7 linked regions of the Macaca mulatta genome follow. The protein of the gene in region 2 interacts with the protein of the main gene of each other region in a pairwise test. Links are inferred from orthologs where the notes say so. Each region holds a gene or a part of one and is shown on either strand. Other genes may lie near its edges.

Evidence for each region.
Region 1: the proteins of TRIM63 (region 2) and MYBPC3 interact in a two-hybrid assay, tested with the Homo sapiens proteins (2 studies listed by BioGRID and IntAct). The link is inferred for Macaca mulatta from reciprocal best matches to the Homo sapiens genes TRIM63 and MYBPC3.
Region 3: the proteins of TRIM63 (region 2) and MYOT interact in a two-hybrid assay, tested with the Homo sapiens proteins (2 studies listed by BioGRID). The link is inferred for Macaca mulatta from reciprocal best matches to the Homo sapiens genes TRIM63 and MYOT.
Region 4: the proteins of TRIM63 (region 2) and TNNT1 interact in a two-hybrid assay, tested with the Homo sapiens proteins (2 studies listed by BioGRID and IntAct). The link is inferred for Macaca mulatta from reciprocal best matches to the Homo sapiens genes TRIM63 and TNNT1.
Region 5: the proteins of TRIM63 (region 2) and TCAP interact in a two-hybrid assay, tested with the Homo sapiens proteins (3 studies listed by BioGRID and IntAct). The link is inferred for Macaca mulatta from reciprocal best matches to the Homo sapiens genes TRIM63 and TCAP.
Region 6: the proteins of TRIM63 (region 2) and CKM interact in a two-hybrid assay, tested with the Homo sapiens proteins (2 studies listed by BioGRID). The link is inferred for Macaca mulatta from reciprocal best matches to the Homo sapiens genes TRIM63 and CKM.
Region 7: the proteins of TRIM63 (region 2) and MYOZ1 interact in a two-hybrid assay, tested with the Homo sapiens proteins (2 studies listed by BioGRID and IntAct). The link is inferred for Macaca mulatta from reciprocal best matches to the Homo sapiens genes TRIM63 and MYOZ1.

The regions. Positions count from the first base shown.
Region 1 is NC_133419.1:18,245,413-18,249,574, forward strand, and holds the start of MYBPC3 (myosin-binding protein C, cardiac-type), read left to right. Parts: upstream 1-1,362; 5' UTR 1,363-2,286; coding exon 2,287-2,509; intron 2,510-3,634; coding exon 3,635-3,901; intron 3,902-4,162. Other genes in the region: SPI1 (transcription factor PU.1), read left to right, coding at 1-286. UniProt on the Homo sapiens protein: Thick filament-associated protein located in the crossbridge region of vertebrate striated muscle a bands. In vitro it binds MHC, F-actin and native thin filaments, and modifies the activity of actin-activated myosin ATPase.
Region 2 is NC_133406.1:214,956,506-214,960,005, reverse strand, and holds part of TRIM63 (E3 ubiquitin-protein ligase TRIM63), read right to left. Parts: intron 3,441-3,500; coding exon 3,272-3,440; intron 2,471-3,271; coding exon 2,375-2,470; intron 735-2,374; coding exon 501-734; exon of another isoform or gene 483-500; intron 1-482. UniProt on the Homo sapiens protein: E3 ubiquitin ligase. Mediates the ubiquitination and subsequent proteasomal degradation of CKM, GMEB1 and HIBADH.
Region 3 is NC_133411.1:146,725,692-146,729,891, reverse strand, and holds the start of MYOT (myotilin), read right to left. Parts: upstream 2,801-4,200; 5' UTR 2,668-2,800; intron 1-2,667. UniProt on the Homo sapiens protein: Component of a complex of multiple actin cross-linking proteins. Involved in the control of myofibril assembly and stability at the Z lines in muscle cells.
Region 4 is NC_133424.1:67,454,997-67,458,496, forward strand, and holds part of TNNT1 (troponin T, slow skeletal muscle), read right to left. Parts: intron 2,660-3,500; coding exon of another isoform or gene 2,585-2,659; coding exon 2,521-2,584; intron 1,990-2,520; coding exon 1,873-1,989; intron 1,647-1,872; coding exon 1,569-1,646; intron 1-1,568. UniProt on the Homo sapiens protein: Troponin T is the tropomyosin-binding subunit of troponin, the thin filament regulatory complex which confers calcium-sensitivity to striated muscle actomyosin ATPase activity.
Region 5 is NC_133421.1:64,014,218-64,017,060, reverse strand, and holds TCAP (telethonin), read right to left. Parts: upstream 1,710-2,843; 5' UTR 1,689-1,709; coding exon 1,579-1,688; intron 1,333-1,578; coding exon 939-1,332; 3' UTR 501-938; downstream 1-500. UniProt on the Homo sapiens protein: Muscle assembly regulating factor. Mediates the antiparallel assembly of titin (TTN) molecules at the sarcomeric Z-disk.
Region 6 is NC_133424.1:57,842,517-57,846,649, forward strand, and holds the start of CKM (creatine kinase M-type), read right to left. Parts: upstream 2,801-4,133; 5' UTR 2,490-2,800; intron 1,630-2,489; exon of another isoform or gene 1,480-1,629; intron 1-1,479. UniProt on the Homo sapiens protein: Reversibly catalyzes the transfer of phosphate between ATP and various phosphogens (e.g. creatine phosphate).
Region 7 is NC_133414.1:75,910,093-75,914,243, forward strand, and holds the start of MYOZ1 (myozenin-1), read left to right. Parts: upstream 1-1,351; 5' UTR 1,352-1,710; intron 1,711-3,153; 5' UTR 3,154-3,171; coding exon 3,172-3,244; intron 3,245-4,151. UniProt on the Homo sapiens protein: Myozenins may serve as intracellular binding proteins involved in linking Z-disk proteins such as alpha-actinin, gamma-filamin, TCAP/telethonin, LDB3/ZASP and localizing calcineurin signaling to the sarcomere.

The sequences.
Region 1 (4,162 bases), on a different chromosome or scaffold from region 2:
GTTGGACCTGCTCCGCAGCGGCGACATGAAGGACAGCATCTGGTGGGTGGACAAGGACAAGGGCACCTTCCAGTTCTCGTCCAAGCACAAGGAGGCGCTGGCGCACCGCTGGGGAATCCAGAAGGGCAACCGCAAGAAGATGACGTACCAGAAGATGGCGCGCGCGCTGCGCAACTACGGCAAGACGGGAGAGGTCAAGAAGGTGAAGAAGAAGCTCACCTACCAGTTCAGCGGCGAAGTGCTGGGCCGTGGGGGCCTGGCCGAGCGGCGCCACCCGCCCCACTGAGCCCACAGCCCCCGCCGGGCCCCGCCAGGCCTCCCGGCTGGCCATAGCATTAAGCCCTCGCCCGGCCCGGACACAGGGAGGACGCTCCCGGGGCCCAGAGGCAGGACTGTGGCGGGCCGGGCCTCGCCTCACCCGCCCATTCCCCCCACTCCAGCCCCCCTCCACATCCCGCTTCGCCTCCCTCCAGGACTCCGCCCCGGCCCCGGGAGGCCACCTGGGCGTCAGACCCCACCGGGGCAACCTTGCTGAGGACGACCCGGGGTACTTCCTTGGGAGTCTCAAGTCCATGTGTAAATCAGATCTCCCCTCTCACCCCTCCCATCCATTAACCTCCTCCCAGAAAACAAGTAAAGTTATTCTCAATCCATCCTCTTGCAGCACGGAGTCTCTTTTAAAATTTGTTGTACACCTCTTCTGGCCCGTGTGTGCTGCGACGTCTCTCTTTTTGTCATTTGTCCATCGGGTGTTTACTGAGGACTGTACCCAATGCTGGACCCTGGGAACATGAGGACCAATGACACAGGCGCCTGACCAGGAGTTAGAGTTTGGTGGAAAGAACAAGTCCTCGATTGTGATGAGGGAAACAGATCCTATTTAAAAGCTCTCTACTCCTGGTGGTAGTTGTTGGTTTTAAGCCTTGATGAGGTTTGAACTCATTTGATGATGATGATGATGATGATGACCATAGCAACAACATTGGATTTTCTGGTCAATTAGTACCTGCCAACCTTGAGATGTGGAGTCTAATATCACTCTATAGAATGGGAAACTGAGGCTTGTAGAGGTCAAATTATTTCCCCAAGGTCACAGCCGCTGAGTGGCCAAGTTGGATCACACTCCAGGTCTGTCCCCGACACGTCAACATGGAGTAGGAGGCTTCGCTTATGTGGAAGAGGATACTCTTCAGCATTCCAAGGACAGGCCTTAAGCCCCAAAGCTCCTGTGGGTCACACAGCATTCTCATGAGCTGCACGCCTAGCAGGACTTTAGACCCAGGTGAATCCCTGGTGGGACCCCCAGGGTCTGTTTGCTTTCCAGCTCCTCGCCACAGCAGGGGAGAAACAGACCGAGCTGAGCAGAGAAGCCTGTGAGTCCTGTGTTTTCCTTCAAGAAGTGGCAGTAGACAGCACGGGAGTGAGAGGCTTCCCAACGCTGTCAGACACCTCAGGGAACCCAGATTCTGGGGTCATCACCGTAGCGGCAAATGCCCCTCCACACCTCCTCACCCTCAGAGGGCTCACTGCAGCCCAACCCTGCAGCTCCCTAGTCCTACTTCAGGGCCACAAGAGAAGGCAAAATGGTGTTGTGTCTTCATTATTCTATTTTTATTTTTATTTTTTTTTGAGACAGGGTCTTACTTTGTTGCCCAGGCTGGAGTGCAGTGGCACGAACACGGCTCACTGCAGCACTGACCCCCTGGGCTCAAGCGATTCTCCGGCCTCAGCCTCCCCAGTAGCTGGGACGACAGGTGTGCGTCACATGCCTGACTGATTTTTGTATTTTTTGTAGAGATGGGGTTTCATCATGTTGCCCAGGCTGGTCTCGAACTCCTGAGCTCAAGTGATCTGCCTGCCTCGGCCTCCCCAAAGCCTCCCAAAGTGCTGGGATTACAGATGAGCCATCACACCCGGCCTAACATTTTAAAAATTATAAACCAACCTCATACGTGTGACAATCCTGTGCAGTGGGTGCTGCTATCACCTGCCCTGCTTTACAGATGAGGAAACCAGGTGCTTTGAGATTAAAGAGATGGCAGTGCCAGGACTCAGAGTCACCCTGGCCCCACGGTCTGTGGACATGACCACTGCCTGAACTGCCCGCAAGGATGCTCCTGACCCGTTAGCCTTAGGGTTATGGGCCCAGCATGCTCCCACCATACAATTTGCTGTAAGAGGGACACACACAGGGCTAGGGGGTACCCCTGAGACTCGCCAAGGGTTGGGGAGGCAGAATTGTGCTGAGGGGGGTGGAGGGGAAGGGACAGGAGCCAGCCAGGGACAATGTGGCCCTACCTTCTCCCTGGAGAGACCTCAGCTCTCTGGAATCTATCTATATTTAGCAGGTGGCTGGACAGGAGGCAGATAAGCAGAGCCTGGGGAGGGGGGAGGTCCCCATATATAGTGGGAAGGACAAGACCCCACTCAGTCCCTCTTTGGGTGACCTGTGCCTGCTTGGTGCCTGGTGTGACGTCTCTCAGGATGCCTGAGCCGGGGAAGAAGCCAGGTAGCTTTAGGACTAGGGTTGGGTCTAAGTGGGGGAGCAGGGGGGTGTCCACAATTGGGGAGCAGGGCTAGGAGGGAGTTCTTGAGGGGGCTGATGAGGACGTGGCCTCTGAGCCCCAGGACAGGGGCAGCCAGTCCTCGGGGGTCCTTTTTGATTCTCGGTTTCTTTTTCCTATCCCTCTGACGAGAGGTGAAGGTAAACCCAAGGTCAGGGACACAGACAGAGGACGCAGCCGAGACAGGAAGCACCCGGGGTCAACCCATTCTGAGAACGCAAAGGACCCCTTCCCTGTCCCATTTCCCTCGCCTTCCACAGCAAGGTTGCCCGCAGACAGAGCCCGTGTTTAGTGTGGAGCTGAGCCAGGCTCACGGCATGCCTTCGGACCAGCCTCTACCCACTCTGGGTCTCAGTCTCCCAACCTGGGGCGCTGGGGGTAGTGGCGGCGTTGGGTTGGTTCCTCCTGGCTGTGACATTATCTGCTTCATGAGCCTATATGGTGTGGCCCCCATGTTGAGGGTGACACAGCCCCTCCTTCTCTGAGAGAAGACAGTCGGGAGCCCCAGAACCCAGGCCAAGGGCAGGGAAAATCACAGCCCAGGGTCCTGGGCCTGGGCTATGCCCTTACCAAGGTTGTCCAGGGCAGAGATCCAGGTCCCCATCCCCCAACGCCCTCCTAGGCCAGCTTTATCTCAGTTGCTGATTCTCAGCCTGAGGTCCTTGGAGGACAAATTTGGCCACATTCCAAGCAGGCAGAATTCCCCGCCCCCTGCCAAGGGCCCCAGATGGTGGGGGGAAGGGAAGTCGAGTCCATCACGGGTGTCTCCAAGCAGGGAAAGTGGAGTATCCAGGGGACACATGCAGCAAAAGTCTTGCGTGGAGGTCAGGACCACAGCCCTGGCTCTTCCGGCTACTAGCTGTGTGATCTTGGAGGAGCTGCTTAGCTTCTCTGAGCCTCAGTGTCCTCTGAGAAATGAACAGAATAACTGCAACTACCTAGGAGAACTGGTGGAGTATTACACGAGGGGATGCGTGGAAAGTGCTAGCACAGTATTTACTAAGAGGGGCTGCAGGGGTGGGGTGCACGCTCCAACCAGGGGCCGCTGTAGCCTCCACCTGGCCCTACAGTCTCAGCTTTCAGCAAGAAGCCACGGTCAGTGGAAGTGGCCGCAGGCAGCCCTGCCGTGTTTGAGGTGGAGACAGAGCGGGCAGGAGTGAAGGTGCGCTGGCAGCGCGGAGGCAGTGACATCGGAGCCAGCAGCAAGTATGGCCTGGCCACAGAGGGCACACGGCATACACTGACAGTGCGGGAGGTGGGCCCTGCGGACCAGGGCTCCTACGCAGTCATTGCTGGCTCCTCCAAGGTCAAGTTCGACCTCAAGGTCACAGAGGCAGGTAAGATTCTGGTCAGGCTTCCCTGAGGTTCAGGCTCCTGGGGGGAGGGACAGCCCAGCACCTCTCTATCCATCCAGGGAACAGGAGGTACTTTCACACTTCCTTGCCTTTGCTGTGGCTGTGCCCCCCGCCAGGAATCCCCTTTCCCCCCTTTCTTTACATGACCTCTCTGAGTACCCCAGGTGCCATCCTGGCCTGTTCCAGCCATGGGGTAGGTGGGAGAGATGAACAAGACACAACCCCAGTCTCCCCTTGCAGACC
Region 2 (3,500 bases):
GGTATCAATCCAAAAACTCCTAAACCCTGAACTCCCCAATCCTAACCACCTTTTCATACCTAATGTCTAGCACAAAGCCTGGCCCACAGGAGAAGCCTAGAACATTTTTATTGAACTGAACTATGAAGTCTTATAACTGAGGCTTTTCTGTCCTCCCCAACAAGCTCTTTGAGGGCAGGGCTGTGTCTGGTTTATCTCCTTGTATTCCACCTCAGTGCCTGGCCTACAGTAGGGGCTCAATTAATAGTCCGTAGATGGGACACTGTATTTTGCAGCTTACAAAGTCATTTCATAAATATCCTCTTATTTGATCATCATAAAATCAGTAAGAGGAAGGTGGGGGGTGTTACATGCCCATTTGACAGATGAGGAAACTGAGGCTCACAGAGGTTTAAATGACTTTTCCAAGGGTCCATGGGTGGTCAGTGGAGAAGCATAACTGGAACCTTAGAGCTGTCGAGTTGAACTGACCCCACCCAGACCCTTCTAGTCCTGCTCACCAAGAGGAAGGTGGCTCCCCCAGGCTCGTCCAGGGACTGGATGGCCGTCTCCACCAGCTTTGTGGACTTGTCCAGCTGTTCCTGGTACTGCTGGATGAGGGCCTCGATGAAGCTGAGCTTTTCCTCCTGCTCCTGCGTGATCCGCTGCAGCAACTCACTTTTCTTCTCATCCAGGATGGCATACAGCGTGTCAAATTTCTGGCTCAGCTCTTCCTTTACCTGGTGACTGTTCTCCTGAGGACGGAAGTCTTGCAGTCACATTCTGTAGGGTCCTTACTCCCTGTCCGCTACACTCCCTTCCTGGTACAGTAGCAAGGAATCTAAAGCTAGAAGAGATCTCACTACATACATCCCCACACTACAGAAGATGAAACAAAGGCTTAACAAGAAGAAAACACTCATCTGGCCTCACAGCTACTTAGTACACCAGTGATATTTGGAGGCTGATGCCTTGAAAAACAGCTAGCCCCTTCTTCCAAAATAGAGGCTCTAGGGTCACATGACATTACATATTCTTCCTTGTTCCTGCACCCTCCCCCTGTCCCCCAACCTCAGCTGGTCACTGGAGCATCACTTCTCAGACCAATGCAACAGTCACCAACGTGGGATCTGCCCTCTCTTTCTCTTTTTTTTTTTTGAGATGGAGTCTTGCTCTGTCACCCAGGCTGGAGTGCAGTGGTGCGATCTTGGCTCACTGCAACCTCCACCTCCCAGGTTCAAGTGATTCTCCTGCCTCAGCCTTCTGAGTAGTTGGGATTACAGGTGCGCCACCACGCCTGGCTAATTTTTGTATTTTTTAGTAGAGATGGGGTTTCACCATGTTGGCCAGGATGGTCTCGATCTCCTGACCTCATGGTCCCCCCACCTTGGCCTCCCAAAGTGCTGGGATTACAGGCATGAGCACTGCGCCCAGCTCTCCGTTGCCTTTTAGCTGTGTTTCCCTTTTAGCTTTGTGACTTTCAGCAAATGAATGTATTTGCTTCCATTCAGTTTCCTGGGCCTCCCGTTTGTCTCAGATCACACTCTTCCCTCCCTTTCAAGACCAAGACTGGATTCAGGAAGCTCTGCATCATTTGGTCCTAGGAGAGGTGGAAAAACAGCTCGTTTCCTAGCACCCTCCTCAACTGACGCTCCCTTCTATGTTCTTTTCTGTAAAATGGGTGTGACAATAGCATCTCATCAGACCCAGGAGCCTCTCATGGGTTCATGGGTGATCAGAATGTTCCCCTCCTTCCTACCCTTCGCCCGACTCTTGGTCCACTAGCAATTATGACGACCCCTTCCCCTCATCTCATCTCCAGGTCCCTACCCCAGGTGAACATGGAAAATCATGGAAGCTTTTTTCAGGGATAGAAAAGTTCCATTCTGCCCTCAACAGTCTCACTACTCAAAGTGTGGTCCGTGGACCCAGCAGCTTGGGCAAATCCTGGGAACTGGCTAGAAATGCAGCTCTTATGCCTCATTCCAAACTGACTGAATCAGAACCTGAATTTCAACATGATCCCAGGGTGATTTTCATGCACTTTAAAGTTTGGGAAGTGTTGGTCTATAGGAAAGAACGGTGCTCTGAAAACAATTTGTGCTGAATAAACACTGAGAACTATTGATGGGACACTCCCTGAGTTCAGGGACCATGTCTGTCTGGTTCATTCCTCCATCCCCCACATCTCGGGTGGGGCCGGACACACAGCTGTGCTTAAGAAGCATTTGTTGAGAGAGTGGGTGAATGGATTAGTCCCTCCCCTGCCATTCCTGCTTGACCCCCAGGCTCCAGGCCCCAACCTTTAGCCACAACCCATGGGTGAGCCTTCCCCAGAGACCAGGCTGCCCTGGAAAGCTCCAAACCCCCAGGCAGAACTATTCTGTCCCCTCACCTTGGTCACTCGACAGGAGTCCTCCAGCTGAGTGATGATGGTCTGCACACGGTCATTCCCCGCCACCAGCATGGAGATACAGTTATTCAGTTCAATCTAGATGGGGGTGTGGGGGTCAGGAGAGGAGAGATACAAATAGCCTCAAGGCCTACCCACCGGGGCATGGCAGCAACCTGGCTCCCTCCCTCCCCTCTGTGCTAGAAAGAGCCTCCAGCAGGGATCTGGCCCCTCTTTCAGGTACTGCTCAGCTTCAGAGCAGAGGATATTAGAAAGATACTGTATCCCTTATTTAACAGATGAGGCCAACAGCAGGCAAGTGGGCTGCCCAAAACACACAGCAAGGAACTGGCAGAGGAGGGGCTTGCTTCTAAGAAAGAAGGGGAAAAAAAAAGAAATAGAGTTGGAGACGTCTAGAAGACAGAGACCTGGAGAAGAGTGCGGAGTGGGGAAGAGAGAGTATGGAAAGGGGGTGGCTACTGCTGACTGCACGGACAGGGTGGCAGGCCCCCACAGGCCCAAGGCCCCAGCGAAAAGGCTCTAAGCTGCCTCCTGCTGCTGGGGAATGCGAAGTCTAGGAGAAGAGGTGAGAGGCACAGGAAGTGGTATCTGGGGGATGGAGAAGCCGTGGCCCGAGAGGACCCCAGTGGCCTGGCTGGGGCGTCTGACCGCTCCCCTCTGGCCACAGCCAGGTGCTCTCGAGTGGCTCTAAGTATAACCATGAGCTCAGCTTCCTCCCCCAAGGAGGGCCAGGGCTGCTGTCCCTGTGGCCTGGGAAGTCCCTCCAGAGGGACTATTCCTGAAAGGCCGGATCAGCAGATCTACAGGGATCAAATCTGCCTTCTGAATCATCCTGCCCAGCAGGCCCAGGCTGGGGGTAAAAGTGGCTGGAGCCAGTACCTTTTGTCCCTGGAAGACACTCTGCAATGGGGCCACCTCGCAGGCCTTGTGGACCCCAAACACCTTGCACATGGAGCAGGTGGGCACCTCACACGTGAGACAGTAGATGTTGATTTTCTCATCTTCGTGCTCCTTGCACATGGGGTGACTGCCCTTCTGCAGCGGCCGACTGCAGTGGAGAACAGTCACAAGTCATGGGGGTCCTGTGTCCTGCATCCCCCTCCCCAGC
Region 3 (4,200 bases), on a different chromosome or scaffold from region 2:
CTTCTTTGTGTGTCTTGCTTGGTCACCCAGGTGATCATAGCTCACTGCAGCCCCTCCAACTCCTGGACACAAGCCATCCTCCCACTGCACCCTCCAGAGTAGGGACTACACGTATAAGCCACCACACCTGGCTAATTTTTCTTTTTTTCTTCCTCTTTCTTTCTCTCTTTCTTTCTTTCTGTCTGTCTGTCTGTCTGTCTGTCCGTCCCTCCCTCCCTCCCTCCCTTCTTTCTTTCTTTCTTTCTTTCTTTCTTTCTTTCTTTCTTTCTTTCTTTCTTTCTTTCTTTCTTTTTCTTTCTTTCTTTCTTTTCTTTCTTTTCTTTCCTTTCTTTCTTTCTTTCTTTCTTTCTTTCTTTCCTTTCCTTTCCTTTCCTTTTCCTTTTCCTTTTCCTTTTCCTTTTCCTTTTCCTTTTCCCTTTCCTTTCCTTTCCTTTCCTTTCCTTTCCTTTTTTCTTTTCTTTTCTTTTCTTTCCTTTCTTTCTTTAATAGAGACAGGGTCTCACTATGTTACCTAGACTGGTCTTAAACTCCTAGCCTCAAGCAATCTTCCTGCCTCAGCCTCCCTTGGTGCTGGGGTTACGGGCATGAACCACCGCACCTAGCTGAGTGGATTGCTTTTTAACCTTACAATTCACTGCTGCTTTTTCTCTCCTTGATTCCAAACTGACCATATTACTAAACTAGATATTAATTAAGGAGTGATTGTATGTATATGTTTGTGTGGAATATATGTTACAGGCTGCATTCCAGAGCCACTTACAAATTTTTCTGTTTTTATTATGTATTTTTAAACAGAATCATACCCTATAATTCTGTTATTTTTAGATTATACTTTCTAGTTGTTGGTCTTGATGTGCTTTTAATTATTTAGAGTTTTACTTTTTATTATTTGTTTAGTATGTATTTTAGACTAATTTTGTTTTTTGGTCTTTTTTTTCTTTTTTTTCTGCCACACCTTTGGAGATCTCAGATAGACTAATTTTGAAATTGATTTTTGCTGTTTTACTTTTTCTTTTCAAATGGCAAACAGGACGCATACAAGTAAATAAGACACGTATGAATTTAGTCTATACCTTACCAAGAAAAGACAGGTGCCATTCCTCCTGCTTAGCTCTGTAGTGGCCCTCCTGCCTTCCTACAGTACATCCTCATTTTTTCTTAGATGAAACATTTGCCATGAAAATCAACCTTGAAGGATTGTATTTGCCTCTGATTTTTTTCCATTAGTATGGTAAACCTAAGCAGAACTATATATAGACATTACACACAAAGACTAGCCTTATAAATTGTTTTAACACTAATCCTGTTTTCATTGAAAATATCAGATAAATTGATTCAAAATACATTTGCCTATTTTGTTTCACATTGTATAAGCCAATACTGAGATAATGACAAATCAAACTTTTAACGGAAAAATTAACCAAATTGTTTGTCATCATTGAAATGAAGTCTTGTAATTATTTTAGTTACTGTCTTGGATAAAATGTTAATAAAACTTTTCCAGACCAAAGAGTTTCATCGTAAATAATAGGATACTTTCAAAAAATAGTATTTCAAGGTTGCCTATGTAGTTTAGAGTTAAATTAAAACTAGCAATTTTAGGAAAAAACAGAAATGCAACTAAGCAGCCAAGTGAAAGACGCTATTGAAAAAGAATACTTAAAAAGTTAAATATTCCTTAATTTCAAGTTTATGAACACAAATACATTAAACTAGAATGCATTTTAGAAATGAACTACTTTAGGCATTTTAAATTGCTGGGGAAAAACATCCTGCAGGAGGGCCTTGAGTAGATCTTAAAAAAAAAGTCTATATCAAGACAAGTAGTTTTGTAGTTATCGGTTTATTCAGTCTGTTGCAGAATTGAATCCAGAGTTTGATTCCTAAATTTCTTTCTGGGCAGGTACATTATTGAGGCTCATTTCAGATAGCAAGGAATAAACCAATTATGAAATAGTAGATATTTTCCAAAAGCAGTTCCCTTTTTTTCTTTACATATATTTTCAGAATGTCAACTGTCTTGTACATGTTGATATTGGCCTACATTGTTAATAATTAGCGATATTTTTAAAAGCCTAATTAAAAATATGTTATTTCATAAGTTTCATTTTATCCATGTGTCAACAAAATTTTATACAGACATTTACACAGGTAATTCTGTAAGTCTTTTCTTTATGTTTGTAGTTACTGTTCAACAATTCTATAGTAGATTCTGTTATTTGACAGTATAACTTTATTCCAAATAATGTTAAATGAATTTCAAATATTTTTATAAATAAAGTAGTATTCAGTCTCCTGTTTTAAAAATCTTAACATTTTTTTCCTATCTCTAATATAGCATAGATTTGCACAGAGGACTGATAGAGGATATGTTGCATTCATAAGATATCACCACAATTACATCAGATCAAGTGTCCCTTTTCAAGGAAAAATGGTGATTTAAAAATAATGAGACGCAGCTGTCTTTCCTTCTATCATTTGTATAATGCCTTCCAGGCTCAGTGAAATGAATGAGTCGTTTTCTCTTTAAATCTTCATGTAATATCATTATAATGTTGTGGCTTTGAAACTTTTTATCTGAAAATCATCTTTGTATACACTCATCTGATTTGGACAGAAAACAAAAACAAGACCTAAAAGTGTAGTAGGAATAAAGAAGGGACTTACCCGTAGTTCCAGAGGGTGCCAGCGGGGTTTAACCCACTATTGAAGGGAAGGAAGAGGCATCTCCTTCCCTCACAGACTAATCTAGTGGCTCTGTGCTTAGTATTATAGCACCACTGACTTTTATCAGCTGCCAAACAGTGACATCTGATGTGCTTGCCTGTCCATCTACCTATGCTGGCATGTCAAAGTAAGAGTCCACAATCTAAACAATATCTCAGATGTCTTAGTGATATTTAAGGAGTGGGATTACATGAGCTTCTTTTCAAGCCTCTTTATTTTAGACGTGAATTTTGACTATGAACTTTAGCAAGCTCATGTGAGGGAAGGGCGGTGAATAGGGAAATGGGAAAAATAGAAAAAAACCCTCTTATTTCTTTATTATGGTGGGGACTTTGAATTTTCCCAATTTAAGAGACAGGACTAAAAGGGAAATAATATTTCAGGAGTGGAGTTCATCTATCTATTATACTAAGACTTCCCCAGGAATAAGACCAGTGGTAGATGGGCTCCAAATTGATTTGTATTGCATAATTCTTCATCTGAAGTCTTTTTTTCTTTTGCCTAATGAGAGTAGGATTCAATAATAGATTTGAGATCTCTCAGTACTAGCAATTTGTTCCAAGGTGAGGGCAGTCTGCGCAAAGCAGGAGACCAGGGTCATAGTGACATGTCACTGGCAAGGTAGGGAGGTGGAAAAACATGATTGTGTTTCTTTAGCAAGTTTTCTGAATCCATATGGCATATGCCCCTTTCGCCTAGTACTTTTATTCTAAAAGAGTTTTGAAACAAGAAACAACCAAACAAATAAGCAATCTATATAATTAGGGCTGTCAATGTATGTTCATCTCCCTTTACTCCTAAGAGTTATATAGTTTCCTTTCACTTTTTGTCACGGAGACCATCATGGTATTTAGGTTTCCATTTTTGTGCAGGGAAGTAAATAATTGCAGAAGAATAAAATGTTGAATAAACAAACGTGGTGAAGTAGGGTAGGTGGCATGAGGATCCGGCCAATGGAGTAGAATTATCTCCATGGGGTGGCTTCAGTTCCCCTCCCTCATGAGTAGATACCCCAATCTTGATTGAATTAACATGTACATTAGGGTCCAGCAAATAGATGTTTAAGCACATATGAGCCATGTAAAATTCTTCACAGCTGACCATGTAGGTGTACCTTTCTTTGGTGTTCAAAGAAAGTTTGATAATTTCTGCCTGGGCGCGCAGCCCTTAGTAGAAAAAACATGCTAGACTTGGTGAGTAGGTGGTTGCCTACAAAGTCTTATTTCAGGAGTCTCCCAAAATATTCCTTAACATCTGTTCACTGATATTTCAAATTCCATTAATAGAGACAAAGCCTTTCCATCTAAATTAGAGAGACTTAAAATGCAAATGCAAGTGATAGAATAATAATAGCCAGTATATAGCATTTATAATGAGTAAGACACGCCTTCAAGCATTTTATTTTATTATTAGTTTTTTTTTTTTCAGAGGCAGGGTCTTACTCTGTCACCCAGGCTGGAGTCCAGTGATATG
Region 4 (3,500 bases), on a different chromosome or scaffold from region 2:
CCTCCCCACAAATATTCCAGGACAACTGTCCCATCTCAAGATCCTTAACTTAATCACATCTGCAAAATCCCCTTCTCGGCTGGGTGACAGGCAGGTGGCTTGTGCCTGTAATCCCAGCTACCTGGGAGGCTGAGGCAAGAGGATCACGTGAGCCCAGGGTTTGGGAACAACGTGGGCAACATAGAAAGACCCTATCTCAAATAATAATAATAATAATAATAATAATAATAATGGCCAGGCATGGTGGCTCATGCCTGTAATCCCAGCACTTTGGGAGGCCAAGGGGGTGGATCGCCTAAGGTCAGGAGTTCGAGACCAGCCTGACCAACATGAAGAAACCCCATTTCTACTAAAAATACAAAAATTAGCCAAGCCGGATGGCGGGTGCCTGTAATCCCAGCTACTCAGGAGGCTGAGGCAGGGGAATCACTTGAACCAGAAGGCAGAGGTTGCAATGAGCCGAGATCACGTCACTGCGCTCCAGCCTGGGTGACAGAGCAAGACTGTCTCGAAAAAAAAAAAAGGAAAAAGAAGAAAATGGAGAATCCAGGCTGGGTGCGGTGGCTCATGCCTGTAATCCCAGCACTTTGGGAGGCCACGGCAGCTGGATTGCTTGAGCTTAGGAGTTAAAGACCAGCCTGGACAACATGGCAAAATGCTGTGTCTACAAAAAAATTGAAATAATAATTAAAAAAAAAAATACCCGGGCAGAGTGGCGCATGCCTGTAGTCCCAGCAATTCTGGAGGCTGAGGTGGGAAAATCGTTTGAGCCCGGGAGGTCCTAGCTGTAGTGAGCTAGGATCACGCCACTGCACATCAGCCTGGGTGACAGAGCAAGACCCTGCCTCCAAATAAATACATAGATAATAATAATAGGTCGGGTGTGGTGGCTCATGCCTATAATACCAGCACTTTGGGAGGCTGAGGCAGGCGGATCACCTGAGGTTGGGAGTTCGAGACCAGCCTGACCAACATGGAGAAACCCCGTCTCTACTAAAAATACAAAATTAGCCAGGTGTGGTGGCGCAGGCCTGTAATCCCAGCTACTCAGGAGGCTGAGGCAAGAGAATTGCTTGAACCTGGGAGGCGGAGGTTGCAATGAGCCGAGATCGCGCCATTGCACTCCAGCCTGGGTGACGAGAGTGAAACTCTGTCTCAAAATAACAACAACAACAATAATAATAATAATAGGCCGGGGCGCGGTGGCTCACACCTGTAATCCCAGCACTTTGGAAGGCTGAGGCAGGTGGATCACGAGGCCAGGAGATCGAGACCATCCTGGCCAACATGGTGAAACCCTGTCTCTACTAAAAATACAAAAATTAGCCGGGCGTGATGGGGAGCACCTGTAGTCCCAGCTACTCAGGAGGATGAGGCAGGAGAATTGCTTGAACCTGGGAGGCGGAGGCTGAAGTGAACTGAGATCACACCACTGCACTCCAGCCGGGGTGACAGAGCTAGACTCAGTTCCAAATAATAATAATAGTAATAATAATAACAACAACAACAAAATGGGCATCTGGCTGAAGAAGTAACATTTGGACTCCCAGGGCAGGGCAGGCACCCACCGCCAGCTTAGCCTGACGTTCGCGTTCCTTCTCAGTTCTGAAGCGCTGTTGCTCGGCTCTCTCCGACCGGCGCCGCTCCTGGGGAACGGAGAAGAATAAAGGGGTGCAGGGACGTACCCCCAGTCATCCCTCCCCAGAGTGGGTGAAGAGTGGAGATAAACAGGCTGGAGTGTGGCCACCGACTTGGATGAATTCCTGAAAGCCTCAGGCTCAGCTCTGTACTAGAAGGAAAACCATTATCTGCATCTCCCAAGATGCAAGGGAGAGAGAGGAAGACTGGGGGGCACCCGGTCTCTCGGCTCACAATGCGCTCTTTCAAGGCAATCAGCTCCTCTTCCTCCTTCTTCCGCTGCTCAAAATGCACGTCGATGAGCGTCTGCAGCTCCAGCAGGTCTTTCTCCATGCGCTTGCGGTGGATGTCCTGCAGGACACACGGGGAGTCAGTCCTGGGAGACCCTGGAGAGGGCAGCGGCCTCCCAGCGCCTCCCCCATGCAGGACGGTGAACTGGACCGTTTCCCAGGTGGTGTCCAGCAGGTGGCAGCAATGCCTCGTGTTTGACACTAATCAGCTCTTGCAAAGACAGAGCTGCCCAAAGACGGGAGTGGGGAGTGGGGAGTGGGGACCTTTTCTCCCAGGCTGCAGTGAAATGGCGTGATCTCGGCTCACCGCAACTTCCGCCTCCCGGGTTCAATCGATTTTCCTGCCTCAGCCTCCCGAGTAGCTGGGATTACAGACGGCCCGCCACCACGCCCGGCTAATTTTTGTGTTTGTAGTAGAGACGGGCTTTCACCATATTGAGCAGGCTGGTCTCGAACTCCTGACCTCAATTTCCCAAAGTGCTGGGATTACAGGCGTGAGCCACCGCGGCCCAGCCCGGCGCCTTTTCATGATTGAAACAAAAGCCCCTTGAAGACTAGCAACTGCGCCTGGGGAGGGGTCTCTGACACTTACATCGAAGTCAACACGCTCCCCTTCGGGGATCTTTGGCGGGATCAAAGGAGGCACCACGGGGCGGCTGGGTGGACGGAAACATAGAGACCATGAGTGGCCCGACCTCCCTGAGCCACCTCCCACCTCCGGGATGCGCTGCCTGGTGAGGTAGCCGCCAGCCCCCTGAACGTGGAGGGTCCCAACTGAGGCAGGCTGTCAGTGAAACGCACAGAATCATGTTTTATGCTGATTACATGTTGAAATGATAAAAATTTATGTAACAGATTTTTAGAACTGTGCTATGAAAATTAAATTTTCCTATGTTGTTGCTGTACTTTAAAAGTATGCCTAGCAAGCTTTTTTTTTTTTTTTTTTTTTTTTTTTTTTTTTTTGAGACAGAGTCTTGCTCTGTCTCCCAGGCTGGAGTGCAATGGTGCCATCTCGGCCCACCACAACCTCCGCCTCCCAGGTTCAAGCAATTCTCCTGCCTCAGCTTCACGAGTAGTTGGGATTACAGGCGCCTGCCACCACACCTGGGTAATTTTTGTATTTTTAGTAGAGATGGGGTTTCACCATGCTGGCCAGCCTGGTCTTGAACTCTCGACCTCAGGCGATCTGCCTGTCTCAGCCTCCCAATGTGCTGGGATTACAGGCGTGAGCCCCCGTGCCCGGCCTTTAGTAAGAAATTGTAAGTGATGTGTGTGTCTTGCCATCTATTCTATTGGGTGGTGCTGCTCTGAGGTTCAGCCTTCAGCCTGCTCTGATTTCCTGCCACTTCCTTGGAATTCTCTTTTCTGGGTTTCTGAGACAACCAAGAGCGATTCCAGGATGAAGGGGACAGGACTTAGGGGTCGCTGGGCAAGGGGAGGGAGGAGGTGAGGACAATCCCCAGTGGTCTCTGGGCCAGGCAGCCAAGTGCACAGTGGGGCTACCATCTCCATCTTGGAAAAGTTGATGAGCTCCTTCGGGGCGTCATGTGTGGGAAGACAATACGGCTCACC
Region 5 (2,843 bases), on a different chromosome or scaffold from region 2:
TGCAGGGGTCACAGAGAGGAACCTGACCCCTAGCACCTCCAACCTTCCCTGGCTTCCAGGGCAGGGAGGGTGGGTCGAGACACAGCCGAGGATTGATTCTGCTTGGATTCAGAACTGAGAGGCAGGTTAGCTTTGAGGTCACTGACCCTCTTCACACCCTGAGGCAAAGCCAAGGACAGTCCTGGCACCAGCCCCTCTATATTCTCCACGAGACATCGTTGAAACAAACTCTGGATGCCAGCTGGCTTGCTGGGTACCACCCAGTGCCAGGGGGCTGAACACAGAAGCCAGGACTGGACATGGGTCAGGGTACGGGAAGGAGACTGGAGACAGCACTCTGTTTATAGTTCTGTCCTGGCCTCCCCACCCCAAGTATGGGGCGTACTCATTAGCTCTGCCATATTTAGCTCAGATGCAGAGCCTGGTCCCAGAAGTGGGCACTGGGGGGACACCCATGGGCCAGCCCCGACAACCACAAGGAAAGAGACGCAACTCTGGCACATGATTGAGCATTTATTGCGGCACTAACAGAAGGTGCTGGGGGCCCCACCATCCTTGCCTCTGCCCTCTTCACCTCCCCCTCTCTCCCAGCTTCTTCTGCCTAGAGCATTCCAGATTCCCCTCACATTTTCCTGGATCAGGGCCACTCCTCCCAGGCACCTCTTGCCCTCACCAGTATCTTTTGTCCCTTCTCCTGGGGCTGAGGGTCCTCAGCTGTGCTGGCCCCCAACTCTCCACCCTTAGTGCCCACCGTCTCTGCCACCCTCCCTTTGGGAACTCAGGGGGCTCAGGCATCCTGGCCTCTGGCTCCCTCCTCCCCTAACCCCCAACTCTGGGCAAACTACAAAGCAGCCATGGCCAGCAGCTCCCCTCCACAGTCCTAGCCAGGAAGGGCCCAGCCCAGGGCGGGCACAGCGGAGCCCAAGTCACAGTCCCTCTCAGCCTCTCTGTGCTTCCTGGGACATGGAGCGGGACAGGGAGCGACGAAGGGCACCGGGCTTGCTGACAGGCACCACAGGGGGCAGCTGCTTGGTGATCTCAGCCACCTCCTGGCGGTCCACACACTGGCCACCCAGGGCTGTCTCCAGCGCCAGCAGCTCCTGCAGCTGGATGGGGGTGTCCTCGCGCTCCTCCTTGGTGGCGCCCATCTTGGCAGGGGTGAAGATGGGCAGTGGCAGTACCCGCTGGTAGGGCAGCTGGTACTCCTGCAGCCCACGGCCGAGGATGCCCATCCGCATCACCAGCCAGGGCGAGCGCTGCACCAGCGCCTGGCACTGCCCCTGCTGGTGGTAGGTCTCATGTCTCTGGGTGTCCTCCTCATGCAGGGAGCAGCTAGGGAGAGGGGAGGGGCAGTGAGTTCTTGGGAGCTGTTGCTCTCCGGGAACAGGCTGGGTGGGGGGCTCCCCAGGGCTGCTGGGACCTGGGAGCGGGAGGGGTGGTTCCCCTTTGCTCTTCCCATGGGGCATTCTTCCTTCCCCCACCCCCAGAAATTTCTCCAGGGCTTCATGCTCTGGCCTCAGGGCTCAGTGAGGGTGCTTTGGAGGAGCAGAGGCAGGACTCTGGCAGACCCACACTCACCCCTCCTCAGGCCGTGTGGACAGTGTCAGATCCTTCCATTCTGCCCAGAAGGCCTCCCGGCGCTCACAGTTCTCCTCGGACACCTCGCAGCTCAGCTCTGAGGTAGCCATGATCACTCCTCACTCCCTCTCCCCTCCCAGGCCCTTTAAATAGCCCCCTCCTCCCCCTTCTCCAGGGGCTATTTTCGGCCCCTCTGGTGTCAGATGCTATAAGCAGAGCCAAGACTCACTAATGGGGGGACGCCGGACCCAGGGCAGGGGTTAGGGTACCTGGACGCTGGCTGCTCCCTGGTCAGAGGTCTGGGGTTCAGGGCCCTATGCCTCCAGGTGCCTGACATTACTCAGACACCGTCTCAGGCCAGCCACATGCCCAGCCTCGTGCCCCCCTGGCACTTGCCCTCTGCCCCACCCACTCCCCTTTGCAGGGAGGACAGCAGCTTGTCTGTAAACAGAACAGGACCAGCAGGAACTGATGCCCCCTCTGGGCTCTGTACCAGGGCTGCCAGGTCCTGCCCTGGCTGTGCTCTCCTCTGCCTGGGCTCAAGGGCACATCCCCAGAAGGGACAGTGCAACCACGTCCTCAGGCGCCTGCACCGAAGGCCTAGTGCCTCGTCCCCAGTCACCCTCACCACACCAGCAGGGGCAGAGGAAGTCAATTCCATACCTGGGAACCTGGGGCATAAGCTTTGGTCAAGTGTTTTCCTTCCCCACAGCTGGTGGTCAGATAAGTGGTCTTAGGAGACAGGACAGTAGGGGTGGAGGGGGCCTCCAGTTCTACCCCAACACCCTGTGTTGGGTGAAATGGAAATCCAGGGGCTCTGATGGATGACAGAAGGCCTGGCTCCAGCTCCAGATCAGCCATAAATAGCCTGTGTGACCATGTGTCAGTTCCTGCCCCTCTCTGGGCCCCTTTCCCCACTTTCTGGCCACTACAAGAGGACCAGAAGACCTCTGGAGCCTGCCAGCTCTGATGTGCTACCTGGGAGGGGACTGGCTCTCCTTCATGGGGAGCAGGGGAGACAGATGGCTGTGGGGACAGTCCAGCACCCCAGGAGTGGCAACTCATGGTCCAAGAAGCTGGCACACAGGTGGTAGGCGTGGGGGGATGAGTGAGAACATTGCCGAGTGGACAAAGCAAAGGGCAGCAGGAGAGGCAGTGACAGGGGCTGAGCTCAGGACCCCGTGGGGACAGCAGAGTACCCAGGAGCAGGTAAGGCCCATGGGCACCCACCTGGGTGCAGAATTGCAGACTACTGATTACTGAGC
Region 6 (4,133 bases), on a different chromosome or scaffold from region 2:
CCTCAAGTGATTCACCCACCTCGGCCTCCCAAAATGCTGGGATTACAGGCGTGAGCCACTGTGCCCCGCCTACCTCACATCTTGCAAACAGCAGCAAGAGGCATTGGGGTCAGGCAGGCTGTGTGACTTGGAGCAAGCGAAATCCTCTCTCCCAGCCCCTGCGTCTCAGCAGGAGGCATCAGGAGTCTTAGATCGAGGGCCCGGCTCTGCCACATCCCAGCTGGGTGAGCCTGGACTAGTCATTCTTTTTGGAGACTCAATTTCCCCAGGTGGAAAATAGGCCCCACACGGAGGCTGGAAAAATATCATGCGTGGGTAAGAGCGTAGGTTCTGGAATCGGCCCAGGGTTTGATTCCCAGCTCTGCTACCTACAACCAGTTGTGTGCCCGGGGGCAAGTTGCTTAACCTCTCTGTGCCTCAGTTTATTCAGCTGGACAATGAGGATCCTAACAGCACCCGCCGCATGGCAGTGTTGAAAGGATTAAATGTGTGAATGCAGGTATAGCTCTCGGAACAGTGCCTGGTTCACAATAAGCATTATTTCACTTAGCTATTATTATTATTATTATTATTATTATTATGTTTGAGACGGAGTCTCTCTCTGTCACCCAGGCTGAAGTGCAATGGTGCAATCTCAGTTCACTGCAACTTCCACCTCCCAGGTTCAAGCAATTATCCTGCTTCAGCCTCCCAAGTAGCTGCAACTACAGGCGTGCGCCACACCCAGGTAATTTTTTTTTTTTTTTGTATTTTTAGTAAAGATGGGGTTTTGCCATGTTGCCCAGGCTGGTCTTGAACTCCTGACCTCAAGTGATCCGCTCACCTCTGCCTCCCAAAGTGCTGGGATTATAGGCATGAGTCACCGCGCCTGGCCTGTTGTTATTTTAAACGTTTGTGTGAGGAGCTGGTGAGAAGGTGGAGGTGAGGGTGTTGCTGGAAGTGAGTATGTGAGCAGTTCTTGGATGATCAATCCAAAGACAAAGGGGCTGGGTCGGGGGAGGGCTGGGTGGCCGCCCCCACCTCTGCCTGCTGACAATTCTCCCACAAGGTTCAGCAGGGAAGAAAAACTCAGCCTCTGGGTCGTCAGAGCCAGGTTCAAATCCCACCTATGCCATTTTCCTGCTGTATGACCCCAGGCCAGTCACTAGGCCTCTCTGGACCTTGTCTCCTGTGAACTGAGCCTACCCCATAGGATTGCCAGGATCCTCTGAGCTTGGCCGTGAGGTTGGCTGAGCACAGGCCCTGGCATGGAGTTGGAGCCTGGAACCCTAGTGGCTGCTATTATTGTTGTTACTACTTTTTTTTTGTAGAGATGAGGTCTCACTATGTTGCCCAGGCTGGTCTGGGATTCCTGGCCTCAAGTGATCTCCAGCATCGGCCTCCCAAAATGCTGGGATTATGCATGTGATCCACTGCGCCAGGTCCTATTGTTATTATTATTTTATTCACTGGACCCATAAAGGAGAAGGGACCTCCAACAGCGGTGGGAGAGGGGGATAGGAAGCAGGTGGGATTGTGGGAGGGAAATTGGGACCATGGTGAGCTGAGGCCAGGGAAGAGGAACAGGGACCCGCCAAAGACCTTGGGCGCTGCTGTCCAGGGTGGTTATTTTTAGACTCTGGCAATTGCCTGCCGCCCCACCCCCAGCTGCTGCCCCTCCCCACCCCCACATTCCGGGGCTCGGCTTGCACCAAGTCAGCAGGCCCAAGACAGGTGGGCCAGGGTGGCTGGGAGGACACGGGTCCAGGCCCCGGGGTTCGGCTCCGGGGCTCAAGGACATCCCGGGCTGGCAGCCCAGACCCCCTCCCTTCAGAGGATGCCCCCCCCAGTCCCTGCCAGGGACACGCCAGGAGAGGGCCCTGAGGCAAGGTGGGGGACCCCCCCCAAGAGACATAAGCAGAAAGCCTCAGAGCCACATACCCCCACCACCACAGACTCCCCAGATCACACTGTAAACTGAGTCACACAGTCACACTTCCAAGCTCAAGGACACGCCCAAGATAGAGGCACTCATGTGTCCGCTACCAAGTCAGTACAAGGTCACAGAGACCTACACGGTAGCAAACGCAAAGAAGCCCGTGACACCTGCTCTTGCAGACTCTGCTAGGCGACAGACACACCTCCCACGGCTTGTGGCGCCAGTGTTGGCGACAAACCGTAATGAACGCGGGCCTGGCTCAACAGCCCCTTGCAGGGGGTGACAGTTGGCAGCTGTCAGGACCCCTTTCATCTCTGGGATCCCTCCCCATAACCCAAGACTTGTGCCGCAGAAATCACAGGTCCCAGCGGGGGTTCAGGCGTCCTCACAGATGGAGGGGACTCCCAGACACACAAGGTCAACCTTCCCATGCACCGACCTGCCTTTGTATAGGAGGATGTTGGTGGAGCAAGGGGTGACACACAGGCCCTTTCCCAAGCCAAGACAGCCTCTAGCACCCACAGAAATCCCCTACTCTGGCTCCCACCCAGATTCCCACCCCGTGCAGTACCTGGCTGGGCTGGGCTGAAGGGGGCTGTCTGTATCCTGGAGGTGACACTGACCCAAAGGAAGGGCCTGCAGCCGTGGGGTTATATAGGGGGACCTAGGCTGTGCAATTGGCTGGGAGGGGCTGTCCCCAGGGAGGAGTTCTGGAGGGCAGCTGAGCCTCTCACCTCCCTGCTCGGGCACCATGCCCACTCTGAACCCAGGCATGCCTTGCGCCCAGCCCCATGGCCTTGTATGGGCTGAGCTGCCCCAGGGGCTGGGCCCAAGCCCCCCCACCAAGCTGATACCCTGACCAAGTGCTGAGTCGGGCTGGCAGTGGGGACAGCTGGCCCCCCGCCGGGAACATGGGACAGTGGCTGGGAACGTCCCAAGCACGTAGAGCCACCTTCCCCTGGCCCCTGAGTCTCCTCCAGCCACCAGCCCCTCCTGTGGCCCTCGGCTCCTCCTGTGCCCCCTGGGCCCTCACCCCTACCCGAGTCCCAGCGGCACCTGGGGGAGCCATGCTGTTGCTCCAGGAGGACCCGGGACCCTGTGAGCAGGAGGAAGCAGAGGCCGGGAGAGGCTGCGTGGCCGCCTGCTGCCACCACCTATAGGGAGGGTCTGACCAAGCCTAATTGCAATAGAGGGCAGTCTAACCCCAGAAACCTGCGCTTGGGTGCCCCTTCCTCCTAGGGACTGAGTGGAGGGGAAACTGAGGCTGGCTGAGTTGGAGAGATTCAAACTCAGGGCAAGGGTGGGAGGCGGTGGTCACCCTCCCCCCGCTTAACCCTTGCACTCTCGGTGCCACTGGGAGATTTCTGCTGTGCGGGGGACAGGGAGGGTCTCGGCCGCTAGGAAAGGAGTTATTTTTAGAGGGCGCTTTGCTGTCTCCTCCCGGCAAAGGCCGAGACCCGAGGCGCTGGGTATGGGGGGGTTCGGGGGCAGGTGTTGGAGGGGGCTTTGCCACGTGTCCTGGTTAATTATAACTGGGCGTCTCGGGTGTCCCTGGGCCTCACCTCCTTACAAGGGCAGCCACGGGGCCCTGGGTGGCTGCTCCCACCTCCCGGGGAAGGGGGCTGGGCAGCGATGCGGTTCAGAGTGCCAGTGCCAGACTCGCGCAGATCTGGGCATAGCAAGCACTCTGGGCGCCTCGGCTGTGACCAAGGACTTCCAGGGCTGAGAGGGAGGTTCTATGGAGGCGGGTACAGTATAGAGGAAGCCGCTTTCTCCTCCTGGGACGCGCCAAGATTGCAGGCTGATTGGGTCTCCTCCTCCAGGGAGCTCCCAGGATTGTGAAGAAAAGAATGTCCCTTCCTTCCGGGTTCCTCCCTCTCCCAGGGTCTCCTGGGTCTCCTTTGTATCTTCTTAGGCAGGTGAGGACTGGCTTAGAGAAAGGGAGCCTCTCTGCCTCTCCCCCAGACTCCTGATCTGAGGGAGGAGGGGAGAGGGGTGCTTTAGAAATGTTACACGGGGCCCAGCCCTTTCCCAGCAAGCTCAGATCGGCAAGGGTCTCCTTCATGGTTATGGAAACTGAGGCCCAGAAAACTAAGTGGAACTGGTCTCAAAACAATAATCGATCAGGCACTTCCTGAGGCTACAACAAAACACAAAACCCCTACCCTCCTGGAGGTGATATTTCAAGAGGGTCACAGAGGAGGGAACAGCACAG
Region 7 (4,151 bases), on a different chromosome or scaffold from region 2:
ATAATTTTTTAAAAAGCCAGCTAGGCACAGTGGCTGATGTCTGTAATCCTAGCACTTTGGGAGTCTAAGACAGGAGGATTGCTTGAGCCCAGGAGTTTAAGACCAGCCTGGGCAACATAGCAAAACCCTGTCTCTACAAAACATATGAAAATTAGCTGGGTGTGGTGGCATGTACCAGCAGCCCTGGCTACCTGGGAGGCTGAGGTCGAAAGATTACCTGAGCCTGTGGAGGCTGAGGTTGCAGTGAGCCCAAATTGTGCCACTGCACTTCAGCACAGGCAACAGAGTGAGACCCTGTCTCAAATAAATAAACAAAGCCACTTCCTCAGGTAGCAGCAACAGGGTGGTAGTGGCTGCAGCAGAAGTGCTGCCACAGCTGGTTCCAGAATCTAAGCAGAAGGTGGAGGAAGATCATGCAGCTACTGAAGACGGAGCTGGGCAAATGATAGGCTTTCCCCAAGGGGGGGCTCTGAAGCTTGTGACCCTGCCCAGAAACTCTGCTGGAACAGTACAAATGGCACAGTCCAGATCCTATGTGGTATGTGCTCCCTTTGAAGGAAATATCACATAGAAACCTCAGAGAGCCTATATGTGCTTCTCATGGAGAAATCGATGTCTATCCCGCCCAGCAGGTTGAACTGAGCACCTCAACAGCAAATGGAGGTTAAAAGGCAGATCCTGGCTGGGCGTGGTGGCTAGAGAATAACTCCTTAGAGACTAGATCCTGGCGGTGGCTCACGCCTGTAATTCTAGCACTTTGCGAGGCCGAGGCGGGTGGATCACCTGAGGTCAGGAGTTTGAGACCAGCCTGGTCAACGTAGCGAAACCCCATCTCTACTAAAAATACAAATATTAGCTGCGCATGGTGGCAGACACCTATAATCCCAGCTACTCAGTAGGCTGAGGCAGGAGAATCGCTTGAACTAGGGAGGTGGAGGTTGCAGTAAGCCGAGATCGCACCATTGCACTCCAGCCTGGGCAACAAGAGTGAAACGCCATCTCAAAAAAAAAAAAAGGCAGATCCAAGTATTTGCCTTTTCTTAAAACTGCCAGAGCTCAAGAGGAAAGAATAGAGTGAGGCAGACAGAATAATTGTCAAGTATTCCCCACATAATTCCTTTGTAGGAGGTACTGGGTTTGCTATCCAGGAACTTTAAAAGAGCAGTTCCATTGTGAAGACTTCCCTTTTTGTCCCCAAACATAGAGCTTTAAGCCCTCCCTGCCCCAAATACACCCACAGGTCTCTCTACTCTGCCCTGGATTGGCTCTGTGTGGCCCTCAGGGCATGTTCCCCAGACTCTCTCTCTGACTGAATTCCTATCCAATACTTGCTGTCTACTTCCTGTCTCCCTCTCAGTCTTCAGTTTCTACCTAAGTGCTTGTTTGGATCTCAGGCTCTAGGTGCAATGTGAAGGGGAGTCCCTGGGCAGACTGATTCCTGGCTCAGACAGTTCAGTGGGGGAATCCCAAAGGCCTTTTCCCTCCTTCCTGAGCCTCTAGGCAAAGAGGGAGGGATCTTGGTTTCAGGGTCTCAGTACCCCCTGTGCCATTTGAGCTGCTTGCACTCATCATCTCTATTAATAACTAACTTCCCTCCCCCACTGCCAGTGCTGCCCCCACGCCTGCCCAGCTCGAGTTCTCCGGTCACAGCAGCTCAGTCCTCCAAAGCTGCTGGACCCCAGGGAGAGCTGACCACCGCCCGAGCAGCCGGTAAGTCTGCAGCTCTATCGTTAGAAAGGTTGGAGCCCACTCTGTTGACTTCTATTTCTGTGTCTACAATTGTGATTCTTGATCCTGGGGGAGTCTCCCCTCTCCTCATCTATGCTCAGCTCCCAGCTGTCCAGTTGGAAGGAGGGGGCCCAGGAGTTTGGGGGGAATGGAGATGTCGGGGGAGGCACTGGAAGAATGGGAAGGGAGACCCCACTAAGTCAGTAGAGTTGCAGATGTATTTTTGTGAGACAGGACTTAGAAGAGGACAGCATTTCACTGAGTGCCAACTTCTCTTAAGAAGGGACTGGAGTCTATCTTATCCCAGTTTGTCCCTTTCCATTGCCAGATCCTATTACTATGTTTCTGCCCCACCCCAATTCCCCACTGCTATGATATTGCTGAATTTACATGTGTCGGGATTTGGATGCTCCCTACCCTTCCCAATTCCACACCTGCCCCACTCTGGGGTCTGTGGCGGGAGTGATTGCAGGAGCAGGGCCATGACTTCCCAGGCCATGTTCCAGCTGGCCTGATGAAGGAGCAACAACCTCTCCTTCCTATGGAGAGTGTTTTTGGCTGAATCTCTTCAACCCTGGCAGAACATTTCTCTGTCCTCCTGGGGACTGGGGGAAGACTGAAGAGAGACCAGAGCCTGGAATCACAGTCCCAGTCTGATATCCCAATGCAAATAAAAACTTCAAATCATGCCAAGTTGATGAAACCTGGGTGCATTGCCCTGCCTGTATTATTGTTTGTTTGTTTGTTTGTTTTTTTTAAAACACTCCCTACCCCTAGCTATGTTCCTAATTCTTGCACTGACTCTATAAAAAACAGCTCACAACAAGTTGGTAGACAATAGGGGCTGGTGTGCATCTATACTTCCTGTCCTGCATCCCAGGAAAAGAGAAGCCCTAAAGCGCTAGTTTTCACCTTTTGGGGAAATACATACTTCTTTGAAAATCTGGATCAGGCGAAGTGGCTCGCCCCTGTAATCTCAGCACTTTGGGAGGCAGGAGGACTGCTTGAGCCCAGGAGTTTGAGGCCAGCCTGGGCAACGTGGCAAAACCTCATTTCTACAAAAAAAAAAAAAATTAGCCAGGCATGGTGATGCACACCTATAGTCCCAGCTACTCGGGAGGCTGAAGTTGGAAGATCACCTGAGCCCAGGGAGGTTGAGGCTGTAGTGAGGCATGATTGTGCCATTGTGCTCCAGCCTGGGCGACAGAGTACAATCCTGTCTCTAAAAAAGAAAAAAATATGTTTTTGTGCCATTGCACTCCAGCCTGGGCGACAGAGTGAGATCCTGTCTCTAAAAAAGAAAAAAATATATTTTTTTGTCCCCTCAAGCCCTTAAACCCAGGTTAAGAAGTAGTGCTCTCCTACAGACACTCACTCTTCCCAGTCCCTGTCCATCCTCCAAGTCCTCTTTCCCACCCTATCCAGGCTGAATCCACCTCCACAATGCCGCTCTCAGGAACCCCGGCCCCTAATAAGAAGAGGAAATCCAGCAAGTTGATCATGGAACTCACTGGAGGTAGGACACGTTTGCATCTACCTAGTGTGGGACTTCTTAAGAGCATCCCTAACCCAAGAGTCCCAGAAATATATATCTTAGGGTGAACAGACAAGAGAAATTAACTGGTGGGAAGGCGGGTGATGGAGAGTGGGAGAGGGAAGGGTAAGAAGGGTAGGGAGAAAGAGAGAAAAGATTCAACACCTTCTACCCTTTTTACTTCATAATCTGAGACAATACCCTGCCATGTTACCCTGCACAGGTCCAGGACCACAGGACCCATGAGTCAGTGAGGTATATTTGAGGAAGAAAATATAATGGAGACTGGCACAGACTCAGGTCTCAATAAGTGGTTAATTTCCCTTCTTTCCCCAGAGCTAGGGAGCTTATGTAAGTACTTAAAATGGAAAACTGCACAGGCATGTTTCCTGGGGAAGAGCAGGGGTGCATGCATGTGAAGAGCTCTTCAATACTTAGAGACTCTTTGGAGCCAGAGCTCACTGAGGGAAAGAAAAGGGAAAGTAGTTAAGACAGAAGTCTGGGCCAGGTGCAGTGGCTCACGCCTGTAATCACAGAACTTTGAGAGGTCAAGGCTGGTGGATCGCTTGAACTCAGAGATTTGAGACTGGCCTGGGCACATGGTGAAACCTCGTCTCTACAAAAGTACAAAAATTAGCCAGGTATAGTGGCATGCACCTAGAGTCCCAGCTATTCCAGAGGCTGAGGTGGGACGATTGCTTGAACCTGGGAGATGGAGGCTGCCGTGAGCTGTGATTGCGACACTACACTCCAGCCTGGGTGTCAGAGTGAGACTCTGTCTCAATATAAATAATACAAATAGGGCTGGAGCTGTGTCTCACACCTGTAATTCCAGCACTTTGGGAGGCTGAGGTGAGAGGATCACTTGAGCTCAGGAGTTCAAGACCAG